2 linked regions of the Stegostoma tigrinum genome follow. The protein of the gene in region 1 purifies or fractionates together with the protein of each later gene. This does not show direct contact. Links are inferred from orthologs where the notes say so. Each region holds a gene or a part of one and is shown on either strand. Other genes may lie near its edges.

Region 1 (7,321 bases):
GGAGACAGGCTGGGCTGGTTTTGGGATGCAGTGGGGGGAGGGGAAGAACTGGGCTGGTTTTGGGATGCAGTGGGGGAAGGGGAGATTTTGAAGCTTGTGAAGTCCACATTGATACCATTGGGCTGCAGGGTTCCCAAGCGGAATATGAGTTGCTGTTCTTGCAACCTTCAGGTGGCATCATTGTGGCACTGCAGGAGGCCCATGATGGACATGTCGTCTAAGGAATGGGAGGGAGAGTTAAAATGGTTTGTGGCTGGGAGGTGCAGTTGTTTGTTGCAAACCAAGTGGAGGTGTTCTAAAAGCAGACCCCAAGCCTCCGCTTGGTTTCCCCAATGTAGAGGAAGCCACACCGGATACAATGGATACAATATACCACATTGGCAGATGTGCAGGTCAACATCTGCTTGATATGGAAGGTCATCTTGGGGCCTGGGATAGGGGTGAGGGAGGAGGTGTGGGGGCAAGTATAGCACTTCCTGCGGTTGCAGGGGAAGGTGCCGGGTGTGGTGGGGTTGGAGGGGAGTGTGTAGCGGACAAGGGAGTCGCGGTGAGAGTGGCCTCTCCAGAAGGCAGACAAGGGTGGGGATGGAAAAATGTCTTGGGTGGTGGGGTCGGATTGTAGATGGCGGAAGATGATACTTTGTATCCGGAGGTTGGTGGGGTGATATGTGAGAACGAGTGGGGGTCCTCTGGGGGCGGGGGTGGAGTGTGAGGGATGTGTTGCGGGAAATGCGGGAGATGCGGCCCAGGGTGTTCTCGACCACTGCGGGGGGAAAGTTGCGGTCCTAGAAGAACGTGGACATCTGGGATGTGCGGGATTGGAATGCCTCATCCTGGGAGCAGATGTGGCAGAGGCAGAGGAATTGGGAATAGGGGATGGAATTTTTGCAGGAGGGTGGGTGGGAGGAGGTGTATTCTAGGTAGCTGTGGGAGTCAGTGGGATTGAAATGGACATCAGTTTCTAGCTGGTTACCTGAGATGGAGACTGAGAGGTCGAGGAAGGTGAGGGATGTGTTGGAGATGGCCCAGGTGAACTTGAGGTTGGAGTGGAAGGTGTTGGTGAAGTGGATGAACTGTTTGAGCTCCTCTGGGGAGCATGAGGCGGTGCCGATACAGTCATCAATGTAACTGAGCAAGAGGTGGGGTTTGGGGCCTGTGTAGGTGCGGAAGAGGGACTGTTCCATGTAACCTACAAAGAGGCAGGCATAGCTTGGGCCCATGCGGGTACCCATGGCCACCCCCTTTGTCTGTAGGAAGTGGGAGGAGTCGAAAGAGAAGTTGTTGAGGGTGAGGACGAGTTTGGCTAGGCGAGTGAAGGGGTCAGTGGAGGGAGGGTTGGGCTCCTAGTTAAAGAAGTAAGCGTGGAGGCGAAGGCGGCAGAAAAACTGCTCGATGTCCAAATGTGACTGGTATTCATTGATGTGTGGGTGGAGGGGGACAAACGTGAGCCCCTTGCTTAGGACTGACCGTTCGTCCAAAGTCAGTGGGAGGTCTGGCGGGATGGTGAAGATGCGGCAGGGCTCAGTGTGGCTGTCTTCTCTGGGGTTGCTGGCTGTGGAGGTTATGGGCGGAGCGATGTGGTCGTCGGCTGTGGGCAGGGTTCCGTCGGTGGTGGGAGGAGTGGGGTGAGCGGCTTCCCCCCGCATTGGTCGAGAACGCCCTTGACTGTATTTCCCGCAACACATCCCTCACACCCCGCCACAACCACCCCCAGAGGATCCCCCTCGTTCTCACATACCACCCCACCAACCTCCGGATAGAACGTATCATCCTCCGACACTTCCGCCATCTACAATCCGACCCCACCACCCAAGACATTTTTCCATCCCCACCCTTGTCTGCCTTCCGGAGAGACCACTCTCACTGTGACTCCCTTGTCCGCTCCACACTCCCCTCCAACCCCACCACACCCGGCACCTTCCCCTGCAACCGCAGGAAGTGCTACACTTGCCCCCACACCTCCTCCCTCACCCCCATCCCAGGCCCCAAGATGACCTTCCATATCAAGCAGATGTTGACCTGTGCATCTGCCAATGTGGTATATTGTATCCATTGTACCCGGTGTGGCTTCCTCTACATTGGGGAAACCCGCTTGGGGACCGCTTTGCAGAACACCTCTGCTCGGTTCGCAACAAACAACTGCACCTCCCAGTCGCGAACCATTTTAACTCCCCCTCCCATTCCTCAGATGACATGTCCATCATGGACCTCCTGCAGTGCCACGATGATGCCACCTGAACATTGCAAGAACAGCAACTCATATTCCGCTTGGGAACCCTGCAGCCCAATGGTATCAATGTGGACTTCACAAGCTTCAAAATCTCCCCTTCCCCCACTGCATCCCAAAACCAGCCCAGCTTGTCGCCTCCCCCCCACTGCATCCCAAAACCAGCTCAGCTTGTCGCCTCCCCCCCACTGCATCCCAAAACCAGCCCAGCCTGTCTCCAAGATAATAAAATGTGAGGCTGGATGAACACAGCAGGCCAAGCAGCATCTCAGGAGCACAAAAGCTGACGTTTCGGGCCTAGACCCTTCATCAGAGAGCTCTCTGATGAAGGGTCTAGGCCCGAAACGTCAGCTTTTGTGCTCCTGAGATGCTGCTTGGCCTGCTGTGTTCATCCAGCCTCACATTTTATTATCTTGGAATCTCCAGCATCTGCAGTTCCCATTATCTCTGATACTATTTTAACCCCCAGCCTGTCTCCACTTCCCTAACCTGTTCCTCCTCTCACCCATCCCTTCCTCCCACCTCAAGCCACACCTCCATTTCCTACCTACCACCTCATCCTGCCTCCTTGACCTGTCCGTCTTCCCTGGACTGACCTACCCCCTCCCTACCTCCTCACCTATACTCTCCTCTCGACCTATCTTCTTTTCTCTCCATCTTCGGTCCGCCTCCCTCTCTCTCCCTATTTATTCCCATTCCCTCTCCCCATCCCCCTCTCTGATGAAGGGTCTCAGCCTGAAATGGCAGCTTTTGTGCTCCTGAGGTGCTGCTTGGCCTGCTGTGTTCATCCAGCTTCACACTTTGTTATCCTGGATTCTCCAGCATCTGCAGTTCCCATTATCACGTAAGATCCAAGAGGATGTGTTGCAATTTATCAGTTAACACTCATCATGCTGCTTGGTTACTTAACATAAAAGCAAGAATTCAACTAATAAAACCAAAATTGAGTTCAGAGAAGGCTGCTTGAGAGCAATATACAAGAAGCAGTGTGAAGGATTTTTATTTGCTAAAGCATTTTTTAAAATAAATTGTTCTCTTGTAAGTTCTACAATAAATGGCTGGTTCTGTGCAGCTCTGCTGCACAGATCAGATTTGGTCCCTGATTTCTGCTAAATTAATTGATTTCATGTTCAACAGTGGTAGGTGCACCATGGGAAGATTCAGCGTAATGTCTCGCTTCTGACAACTCTATCTTTATTTAGATATGATGCTACACGTAGATAAAACTAACTGCTTGACTATAACATACACATCTTAATCCTAGTCCTGCTGCTCAGAGACTGAATAAACGTACATAACAATCTGAACAGGACATGATTGAGTAAACCTTTGCGACTTCATTTGGTTTTGAATCTTGTAACTCGTGTTAGTTTTGGTCAAAAAAATCAAAACACCAGTTTTTTGAAGTTATGAAGTTGGAGGTCCAAACAAAATGTTGCACAAATATAAGTAGAGGTTGGCAAGCCTATTTGACACATCTTGTTTAATGTTCCCAAAAATAAGTACACGTTTTCACCCTCCTAGAGTGCTGACCCCAACGTTGGTCTCCCGGAATCCAATTCTAACATGAGTTTTTAATCTCCATAACCTTAAATAAAGAACCATCCAGGCATCTTTATGGATGCTCATGTCCTCAGGCCTCTGGATTACCAGTCTACGTGACACAGCCGGTACACCACTATCTTCTCTCAGTGATGTGCAGTTTTGATGGGTCTCTCCCGTGGAGTTTATGGAGAATATCCCGGTTATCAAGAGGAGGTTACCTTCACCATTTAGACCGGTGAATCGATGGTGGCTTGGCTGTGGTTGCTGAGCAACAACGTTGGCCTCGGTCGCCAGACCGCGGAAGTGAGGTAAGGCCGGCACCGGAAGTTATGGTGCGAAGTTTCTGCTGCTCCTATGAGAGATGGCGGTGGATGTCCGCTCCAGGGCCAAGCGTTACGAGAAGCTCGACTTCCTGGGCGAGGGGCAGGTAAGGTTTACCCCTAAAGACCAAAGCACCCGCTGTTGGCAGGGCTCAGTATTTGCGCTCGTTGCTTTTGTTATGGCGGCGGAGGCTGATTATTACTTCCCAAAACTTCTAACATCGTGTTGCTGGAGAAGCTTTATTCAGTTCTGAACGGAAAATTATCGGTTTCACTCATTCCTGCTTTAAGAATAGCCAGAGAACAGTGAAACAGTTGAGAACTGTCGATGCTGTAAATCAGAAACAAAAGCAGAAATTACTGGAAAAGCTCAGCGGTATCTGTGGAGAGAAATCAGTGTTATCGTTTCAGGTCGAGTGACTCTTCCTCAGAACTCAGTATAAGCAAACCTCGTTCAATTTTATAATGTCGACTTGATAGCACTCGCTCCTTTGAATCACAAGATTCCGGATTCAAGTCTTCCTTCAGGACTTGAGAAAATAAAAATCACGAGTGCTGGAGGTACCGTCCTTTGGATGAGATGTCAGACCAAGGCTCGTTCTGTCTGCTTAGCTGCATGTAAAAGATCTCATGGCACATGTTGGAGGAAGAAGAGGTTTTTGTCCTCAATGTCTTAGCCGATACTTACTACTCCCCCAACATCAGGAAGAACGTTACCGGGTCTTTGTCACATTTCCGTTTGCTGAACACAAACTGACTGCCACCTCTTATATATTACAGCATAGTAAAAGTACTTCATTGGCTAAAAAGCGCTATGAGACACCTGGTGGTTGTGAAAAGTGCTGTAAATTGAAGTTATTTTGTAGCCAGTGTTTTACAAAGAAAAATTAAGCAGTTGAATAAAACTAAAAAGGATGAATTTTAACATTCAGCTGTTGAAGTTAGAATCATATTTGCATGCTAAATGGAATTTATATTGGGAGATAAGGAAATGACTGAGAAGCTAAATAAAGCTGTTTGTATCTGTCTTCCCGGATAACCTACCAGAAGTGCTTGACAACAAAGACACCAGCAGAATGAGGCACAAAAGTTAAAAAGTAGTCCTGAATGTTGATTAATCCTCAGGATCTATTGATCTACATATCTACATAGAGTTGAGAGAAATGGCTGTAGAGATGGTGAATTCTGACCATCTTCAGATTAAAGTTTGCAGATGTAACTACACTATTTAGGAATGAAAGAAGAGTGAAAACAGAACTTTTCAGCCTTATATCAGTAATAGGTAAATCTATTAAGTCTGTAATAACTGGACACTGAGGAAAATAGCTTCCTGGTTCTGATGAAGAGTCGATGGACCAAAACATTAATTCTGCTTTCCCTCCACAGATGCTACCAGACCTGTTGAGTTTCTTCAGCAATTTCTGTTCTTGTTTCAGATTTTCAGCATCTTGGTTTTATTATATAACTGAGAAAATAATGATCTGATTGACAGTCAACGTGGTTTAATGAAAGGGAAATTGTCGTGTTTGTCAAATCAATCGGGAGTTTTTTTTCAGAATGTAGCTAAAAGGATAGATAAGCAGGATCTCTGGATGTGTATTTGGATTTTCAGGAGGCTTTCAATTAAGGTCCTCTACATGAGGTGCGTAAAATTAAAATACTTGGGATTGGGGTAGTCTATTGCCATAGAATTGGCTAAAAGATACAAAACAGAGATAGGAATAAACAGGTCCTTTTCAAGTTAGCATCTTGGGCTACCTCACAGATCCAGATATTCAGTGATTTTGGATGTGGGGACCAAATATATTTTCCAAGTTTGCAAATGACACCAAACTAGGTGGGAAGTGTTATGAGGTGAATGCACAGATGCCTCAAGGGATTTACGCTGAATGAATGGGTAAGAACATGGCAGGTATAATACAATATGGCAAGATGTGAAATTAATCAGGTAGGTGGAAAAACAGATGTGGCATAATCCTTAAGTGGTGAGGGATTGGGAAGAGTTGATGTCAAAATGGACCTGGGTGCCCTAGTTCATTAGTCACCAAAAGCCGATATCCTGGTACAGTGACCAATGAAGAAGCCAAATGATATGTCAACTTACAGCATGTAAACAGACCTTCAGTGAAAATAGTCCCTGCTGACCATGTTCCCAAACTAAACTACACCTGAGTATAAGAAATAAAATAGAAAGATATAACTTAGAGAACCCATCAAGGAGTGTCTTGCTGCACTTGTGCAGTCTCATCAAGGCTGTGTACATGTTTTGGTGAAGTGCACATGGTGTAGAGCTTGGTCTTGCCCAAGAGAATGATATACTTGTTATAGAGAGTGTGCAATAAGGGTTCACAGATTGATTCCTGGGATGGAATAGATCCTGCTGTGATGAGAGATTGAGGAGACTGGGCTTGTAGATTAGAAGAATGAGTAATGACCCCATTGAGATCTACAAAATTCTCATAAGGCATGCCACATAAATGCAGGAGTAGTATTTCCATGGTTGTGAAGGTCTAGATTTATTTCCTTCCTAATTTCTTCAAAGCTGTGTGGACTTCCAAGGTCCATGCTTGGCAGCTGCTGAAGAAAACAGATGTGAGTTCAGCAACACAGAGTCAGCATGCTGACCAGTGTACATGGATATTCAGCTGCCCATGCAGCTTAGCAGGAACATTGGTCTGGATTGAGAGAGCCAGTCTCAGACTAAGGGATGGGGTACTTGAGACTGAGAGGGAGGTAGACTTCTTAACTTCAAATCAAACACTTTGTGAACTCTCCAACTTTGCCAGCACTTGACCCAGACATTGATCAGAGGTGTTGATAAACCTGGAGTCCAAATCACTCTGTCAACTATTCAAACTCAGATCTAGAATCCACTTTCAAACCATCAAGTGAATTGTGTGCTCAGGGTTGCTTGTGTATCTTGGGCAATAAAAAGGACACGAAATTGAAGATATCAAAGGGTTCTGTGTGTTGCTTTCCCCACTGGCTTGTGGGCAGCTTCGTTACATGATGTGGTATTGTTGAAATTTTGCCAATTTAAATGTTTTTAAGTATACTGGTAATTTTTGCAGCATTGAAAGGAGCACCGATTGGTCTCACTGCCATTGAATAGGATCAGGTCAAAAGTCAACCAGTATTTTTATACCTGATCTACCTTGGTGTTTTTGTGATGAGGCACAAGATGAGAATTCATTGATGTTCTGCATTGTCAAATAACTTGCCGACAGTG
Region 2 (7,660 bases), on another chromosome or scaffold:
TTCTAAGCTTCGTCATCACAGATGTCAAGGCAACTGGCCCATAGTTTTCTGTTTTCTACATCCCTACCTTCTTGAATATTGGAGTTAGATTTTCCACTTTCCAGTCTGATGGCAATATTCTGAACTGTAGCAAATTTTGGAAAATTAACACAAATGAATCTACTACCTCATTAACCACCTATTTTAATGCTGTTAGGGGGAAATTTGGGTATGACGAGTTAACCTGTTATCTACATGAAGTTCCAACTGGGATTAGAATGAGTTAGAGAGTTTTAGATAACTTCATAAGCTACAGTAATACAAATCCTACTACCTCAGTAATATAAATCATTTATGATTCTGTTTTATTTATTCTTATTCAAGGAAGTAATCAGGTTAAAAGGAACTGCAGAAATACGATCAGATGCTGATGTAGCAGACAGAGTTTCTGTGAAAATGTACTGTGGCTGAACCAGCATTAACCCTGAGGTCTTATTTGGAAGTGTAATGAGAAGATGACCCCATACTACAGTGAGAAAAACAAAGTAATGGAGTCGAGTCAAGGATGGGAATAAAGCGTAGCCTTCAGAGAGGAGATACAATGACATCTGGGAAGATATGAGTGGTAAGACCAAGTGTAACAGGCACCTTGGCACTTTAGGAATGTATGATAAACAAGGTCTTTGTCTAAAGCAGATCATCTTGGAATTCAAGTACTATCTATGTGACTTACAATGTATGAATATCTAATTAATCCTCATTGAGTTAGAATGCTATCTTGGAATCTTTCCTTGGGCAGACCGTCCCAGCACTGGATCAATGTATGATCATTGACCTCTACCTCAACAATGCCCTCGGATGAAATACATCAGGACCTGGGAACTTTGTTCTTGGCTTTATTAATAAGGGCATAGAGTACAAGAGCAGGGAGATGATGTTGAACTTGTGCAAAACACTTGTTAAACATCAGCTGGTGTATTGTATATGTTTGTGGGCACATTACAGGAATAGTGTGATTGCATTGGAGAGAGTGCAAAAATGATTTATATGAATGATCATAGAATCCCTACAGTATGGAAACAGGCCCTTCAGCCCAACAAGTCCACACCGACCCTTGGAGCATCTTACCCGACTCATCCCCCAATAACCCACCTAATCTACACTTCCATGCACACTATGGGCAATTTAGCATGGCCAGTCCACCCAGTCGGCACATTTTTGGACTGTGGGAGGAAACCAGAGCACTTGGAGGAAGCCCACACAGACACAGGGAGAATATGCAAACTCCACACAGGTAGTTGCCAAGGGTGGAATCAAACCTGAGTCCCTGGCACTGTGAGGCAGCAGTGCTAACCACTGAGTCACTGTGTCACCCCATGGATGGTTCAAAGAATGAGATATTTCAGTTCTGAGGATAGGGTGAAGAGGTTGGGACTGTTCTCGTTGGAAAGATAAGGCGGGAGAAGATTTGATAGAGGTTTGCAAAATCATGATCAGTGGGGAGAAGCTGTTCCTTCTGAAAAAAAGTAAAAAAAAATGAGTGGGCATAGATTTAAAGTGATTTAATTGAACTGGCACAGGCATGATGGGGCTGAATGGCTTCCGTATTTATCCTAGGTTGCTCCGGGAAGCGAGAAAGGAGGTTGCTAAGCCGCTGGCAAAGACCTTTGCTTCCTCACTCTCCACGGGAGTCACACCGGAAGATTGGAGGGAGGCAAATGTTGTTCCTCTTTTCAAGAAAGGGAATAGGGAAATCCCTGGAAAATACAGACCAGTCAGTCTTATGTCTATGGTCAGCAAGGTTTTGGAAAGAATTCTGAGGGATAGGATTTATGACTATTTGGAAAAGCATAGCGTGATTAAACGGAGTCAGCATGGTTTTGTGAGGGGAAGGTCATGCCTTACCAATATTATTGAGTTCTTTGAGGAAGTCACGAGACAGGTTGATGAGGGTCGAGCAATGGATGTGGTGTACATGGACTTCAGCAAGGCATTTGATAAAGTTCCCCACGGCAGGCTCATGCATAAAGTCAGGAGGTATGGGATACAGGGTGATTTGGCTGTCTGGATTCAGAATTGGTTGGCTGACAGGAGGCAGAGAGTGGTTGTAGATGGTAAGTATTCTGCCTGGAGGTCACTGCTGAGTGGTGTCCCGCAGGGCTCTGTTCTTGGGCCTCTGCTCTTTGTAGTTTTTATAAATGACTTGGATGAAGAGGTTGTGGGGTGGGTTAGTATGTTTGCTGATGACACAAAGGTTGGAGGTGCCATTGATAGTATGCCGGCGATTGCAGGCATCAGCAGGACATTGACAGAATGCAGAGCTGGGCTGAGAAATGGCAGATGGAGTTCAACCTGGATAAATGCGAAGTGATGCACTTTGGAAGGTCGAACTTAAATGCTGAATACAGGATTAAAGGCAGGATTCTCGGCAGTGTGGAGGAACAGCGAGATCTTGGTGTTCAAGTGCATAGTTCCCTCAAAGTTGCCACCCAGGTGGATAAGGTTGTTAAGAAAGCATATGGTGTTTTGGCTTTCATTAACAGGGGGATCGGGTTTAAGAGCCGTGAGGTTATGCTGCAGCTCTACAAAACCCTGGTGAGACCACACTTCGAATATTGTGTCCAGTTCTGGTTGCCCTATTATAGGAAAGATGTGGAGGCTTTGGAGAGGGTGCAAAGGAGGTTTACCAGGATGCTGCCTGGACTGGAGGGCTTGTCTTACGAGGAGAGGTTGACTGAGCTCGGACTTTTCTCTCTGGAGAGAAGGAGGAAGAGAGGCGACCTGATCGAGGTGTACAAGGTAATGAGAGGCATGGATAGAGTCGATAGCCAGAGACTTTTCCCCAGGGCAGGATTGACTGCCATGAGGGTTCATAGTTTTAAGGTGTTAGGAGGAAGGTATAGAGGAGACGTCAGAGGGAGGTTCTTCACCCAGAGAGTTGTGAGCGCATGGAATAGTTTGCCAGTGGTAGTCGTGGAAGCGGAGTCATTAGTGACATTTAAGCGACTGCTGGACATGCACATGGACAGCAGTGAATTGAAGGGAATGTAGGTAAGGTTATTTTGTTTTTGGATTAGGATTATTCCACGGCACAACATCGTGGGCCGAAGGGCCTGTACTGTGCTGTACTTTTCTATGTAACAGTGCTGTGAATTTATGAATTTGTCAGCCTGCAGCTCCATCAGTTTGTTCATTACTACTTCCCTGGTGATTGTAACTTCACCAAATTGGTCTCTTCCTTCAGTTATGATCCTAGTTGATTTTATTATTGGACAAGTCAGATCTCAGTCAGGACCCTAGCTGAGATCATATTTTTATTTGTTGTGATCCTTTAACAATAAAATATATAGCAAATTCAAATATTTTAAATACCCAGTAAAAGTATAACCCAATAAGTCCCAACATATTATTTTATAAATTGAAAAGAAATGAAACAACTACTGTGTAATACCAAACACACCACTGCTACAGGTCCCAAACATGCTTCACATAATACTCACACTACAGTCCCTGTACCAGATTTAAGTCACATATGACTTCAATTTTTCTGGAATAAGATGTAGCTATTTTCATACCTGCGTTTCACTGGACTTATTTTAAGTAACCTTGTCAAGGTTTTTATCCCAACGCTTCTGGTCTGGGACTAAAAATGACTTTTCTCTCCAATCTAATCCACAGTATCTACCATTCTCTTCTCAGGAAGATGCTCAGATCTACATTGGATTGATTCATATCAGAGGCACAGTAACACTGTATTAGTCTGAGTCAGAGTTGCACTGTACTCATAAATCTGGTTGAGCAGTAGTAGGGTGACTAGAAGTAACAGCAGCAGGACAATCCTTAAAAATTGGGACAATTACCCAGAACTTCCGACTATCCTTAACTGTAAATGTCAGGGAGAACAATTTTATCTTTATACAATTAATCTATCTTGGAGTATACTTGATCTGTCTCTCGGTTATTAATCACATATCAAGCCAACTTTGCTGACTTCACAGGTTCCATGTTTTGCGAAACGTCTTAGCTGACATGTCCTTCAGTGGAATATGAGAATCCTTTATCAGAATACTAACTCATTGCTTGCACTAACTGTCATGCCTCCAACTCTCCTTGGTGCATATTTGGGTGAATTTTAACCATCAACCCTGGAGTCGATGTGTAGCACAGAAAGGGGAGGCCACTGAAACAGTGGCTTGAGGTTCCCTAATCACACTTTTAGAAACAAACATTGAATGTACTTTTCCAGCTGCCCACGTACTGTGGAAAGATATCCTGTTACTTTGGCACACTGACCAAATCAGTCATGCGTGATACAGCATACCAGACGTGTACGTATGACAAGACAATTCAATTTGAGATAATATAACAAACCGTTTGGAGGGAAATTTGCGGACAAAAAATAAACACATTTCCACAAGGAGGCTGGGACTTAAACGACTCCGACTCCGAACTGAAACGCTATATAACCCCTCTAATCATTTCGGTGCAACTCTGACCCAATGTGGTGTCATTTTGTTCGAGGTGCCGTTAACTGATTGGTCATGTTTGAATTGCGTGTGTTATCCCAGATCGCTTAGCGCTGCGAGAGAAGAAATGGTTGTTCCGTAGAGATCAGGTTTGAGTATTGAATCTTTTCTCCCCCCCCACCTTTTAAATTGTAAAACTTATGCATATGTGTTTTCGTAATGCTAATCCTTACTTGACCATGTTAATAATGGTGTGCTGTCTCGAGAAATGTCCCGCCTCCAACTGATGTTTCTTTTATATTGTATGGTAGGTTTGAGTTTTTTTCTCGGGGGGCGTGAAGGCGCCCATCACGGATCTGGCCTGATCTACGGTAATTAGCACTTTTCCACTTCATCTTACTTGGATGACAAGAATTAGTCACGCAGCACAGAAACAGGCCTTTCGGTCCACCATGTTTGTGCTGACTAACAAACATCAAACTGTACTAACAGAAGTTGCTAGAGATAAGAGATTGCTCGAAGTTCCTTCCTCAGAGGAAGAGTCACTGGACCCGGAACGTTAACCCTGATTTTTTTTCCTTCACAGATGCTGCCAGGCCTGTTGAGATTTTCCAGCAACTTCTGTTTTTGTCACTGATTTACAGCATCTGCAGTTCTTTCGGTTTTTACCAAACCACAGTAATCCTGTTTACCTGTATTTAGTGCACTACTGTGCCCTGGCATTTTAAGTGCCACATGCTTCTTAGGTGTTGCAAGAGTATCTGCTTCTGCTGCCCCCTCAGACACCGCGTTCCTTATTTCTACAACCCTCTGGGTGAAAATGTTTTTCTTCCGATCTCTTCTAAACAACTTGTTCCTCACCTTTAATTTTAAGCGTTCTGGTCTTAGACATGTATGCTGCAGGGAAAAGATTCTTAAGATTCTATATATCTTGTCTGCCTGTGCTTCTTATAATTTTGTATACCTCAATCAGATATCTTCTCTGCTCCAAGAAAACGAAACCCAGTCTTCCCTTACAACTGAGACTTTTCATCCGAGGCAACATCCTGATGAATCTCCTCTGTACCCACTCTACTGCAATCACATCTGCCCCATTGTGTAGCAAACAACATGGTATTCTGTTTGCGGCATAACAAAGTTGTAGCAAGACTTCCTTGCTACTATATTCTATGCCCCAGCTAATGAAGGCAAACATCATGAATGCTTTCTTCATCACCGTGTCCAGCTGTGCTGACACCTTTACGGACTTGAACACCAAAGTCCTTTTGTCCCTCAGTTCACTTGATAGTAAATTTAAGTGCGACTATTGGAATGATGACTGCAGAAGTAGAGCATCAAGTTAAGTGCCAGAAAGACACTGGTGTTATGTATATGTTTTCTAATCAACCTGTTAATAGATATTAGACACCTCTGGAATAGGTGGGCCTTAAATCTAGGCTGCCTGGCTCAAAGGCAAGAACATTACCGTTGTATCAAGAAGGCAAAATGAAGCCATCGAAGGCCAAGTTGAGACTATTTGATGGGACGGTACTCCACTCAATATCCAAACAATATCCACTCATACCAGCTGAAAAAGTTTTTAAGCATGGTTTGGTAACCTTGGTTTCACTGACCAGATCCTAAAGGAAAATGTTTCGACAGGTCTTTGTCACCCTGGTAAATAATTTGAAATAGATGAACAGGCGAGACCAGCTCAGCATCTGGAGAGATCTGGCTGCTCTCAAGTCCACCTGAAAATCAAGAGAAGTTGAAAAAGGAGTAATGAATCAAGGACGAGGCAACTCAGACAGATTGACTTGCAAAGTGATAGCAGTGAAATAACCTGGAAGGACTTCAATAAAACCTTGAAGAGATCTTACTACTGCCTGCTAACCATTGAAGATATTTCGTCATAATTTGTGAAGGCAAAGATCTTTACTATTCTCCTTGTGGTGGATACTAGCAAGTGAAGTTGGATGAATTCAGAAACTCTTGTGATGTTTGAGAAGTACCTGCAATTTGGAATTTCAGCTTCTTCAGAAGATCATCGCCACACAATGAGACAGCTGTTGACTTTTCTAGAGTGGAAGTGATTGGCGTTATCTGCTGGTCTGTTGATGTGTTGAAATGACAGAGGCCGTTGCACACCACATTCTTCTCAGTGCTGGAGAGTTCACCAGATGAAATTGAATCTGGACAAGAAAAGAAAACAGTTCAAGGTGCCTAAATTCAGATATGAGATTCACGTACTGACAGCAGTGGAATTGTCCCTGATAACATTGAGAATTGTAGTAGAGGTGTTTTAATTTAAAGTTCAGTAGTACAGGACTTGAGCTTTTCTGAAAAACTTTGTCTTGCACACATTAAGATAGCTTGCAAGAAATATTAATTTGTAAGGGAGCAACTACTTTATTGTATGAGAAGTGTGCTGATTGGTACAGGTGTTGCCATGGGGAATACACCAGTTAGGTGGTGATTGACAGGTAACTCCGGTTTTGTGTAATTTATTTAAACCAGGCAGGCTGACTCTGATTCGACTGGGAAATGAAGGAGAGAATAGCTGTTGCCTGTTTAATTGCGTTGAAAAAGGTGCTGTATGTGCTCATGTTCATTCAGTCTGCAAAGTCTGTAGCACACAAGTGGCTGCGCTATGCAGAGCTGTTGGGGGAGTAAAGAAGAGGAGAGAAGAGAGAATAGTGATACAAAATTCTGTCATGAGGGAAGCAGATGTTTCTGTAGCCGGTGTGTGGTAAAGGATGTCACTGAGTGGTTCTAGGATATTCCGAAGGGGTAAAATGAACAACCAGAGAGTATGGTTCATGTCCATGTCTACGAACACAAGTTAAAAGGGTGTATGATAAGCAGAATGTAAGGAGCTAGGAGTTAAATTCAAAAACAGGGCCTCAAGGGTAGTAATTTGGGGACTACTCCCAGGGCTGCATGGCAGTATGTTTAGAAATAGGAGAGATGGTGCAGGAGGGAAGATTTTAGATTTCTGAGGCATTAGGTATGATTCTGGGGCTGATGGAAGCCGCACAAACTGGACAGATTACACCTCAACAGGGCTGGAACAAATATCCTTGCAGGGGCATGCACTTGTTCCCATTCATGCTACCCTTGTATAAAACCCTCCCACACAGGACTAGAGTTGAGAAGAAAGGGAAACAAAGTGAAAAGTTGAAAGTGGAAACCCGGAGGAAACAGACAATCAGCAAATAGGTTCAAAATGTTAAAAA

What was found.
Region 2: the proteins of cdk7 (region 1) and gtf2h5 purify together in Homo sapiens (affinity purification with mass spectrometry; 7 studies listed by BioGRID and IntAct, with this or other methods). This does not show direct contact. The link is inferred for Stegostoma tigrinum from reciprocal best matches to the Homo sapiens genes CDK7 and GTF2H5.

The regions. Positions count from the first base shown.
Region 1 is NC_081356.1:109,484,291-109,491,611, reverse strand, and holds the start of cdk7 (cyclin-dependent kinase 7), read left to right. Parts: upstream 1-4,079; 5' UTR 4,080-4,133; coding exon 4,134-4,199; intron 4,200-7,321. UniProt on the Homo sapiens protein: Serine/threonine kinase involved in cell cycle control and in RNA polymerase II-mediated RNA transcription. Cyclin-dependent kinases (CDKs) are activated by the binding to a cyclin and mediate the progression through the cell cycle.
Region 2 is NC_081362.1:31,605,450-31,613,109, forward strand, and holds the start of gtf2h5 (general transcription factor IIH subunit 5), read left to right. Parts: upstream 1-4,432; 5' UTR 4,433-4,594; intron 4,595-4,756; 5' UTR 4,757-4,816; intron 4,817-7,660. Other genes in the region: protein SERAC1, read left to right, coding at 364-450. UniProt on the Homo sapiens protein: Component of the general transcription and DNA repair factor IIH (TFIIH) core complex, which is involved in general and transcription-coupled nucleotide excision repair (NER) of damaged DNA and, when complexed to CAK, in RNA transcription by RNA polymerase II.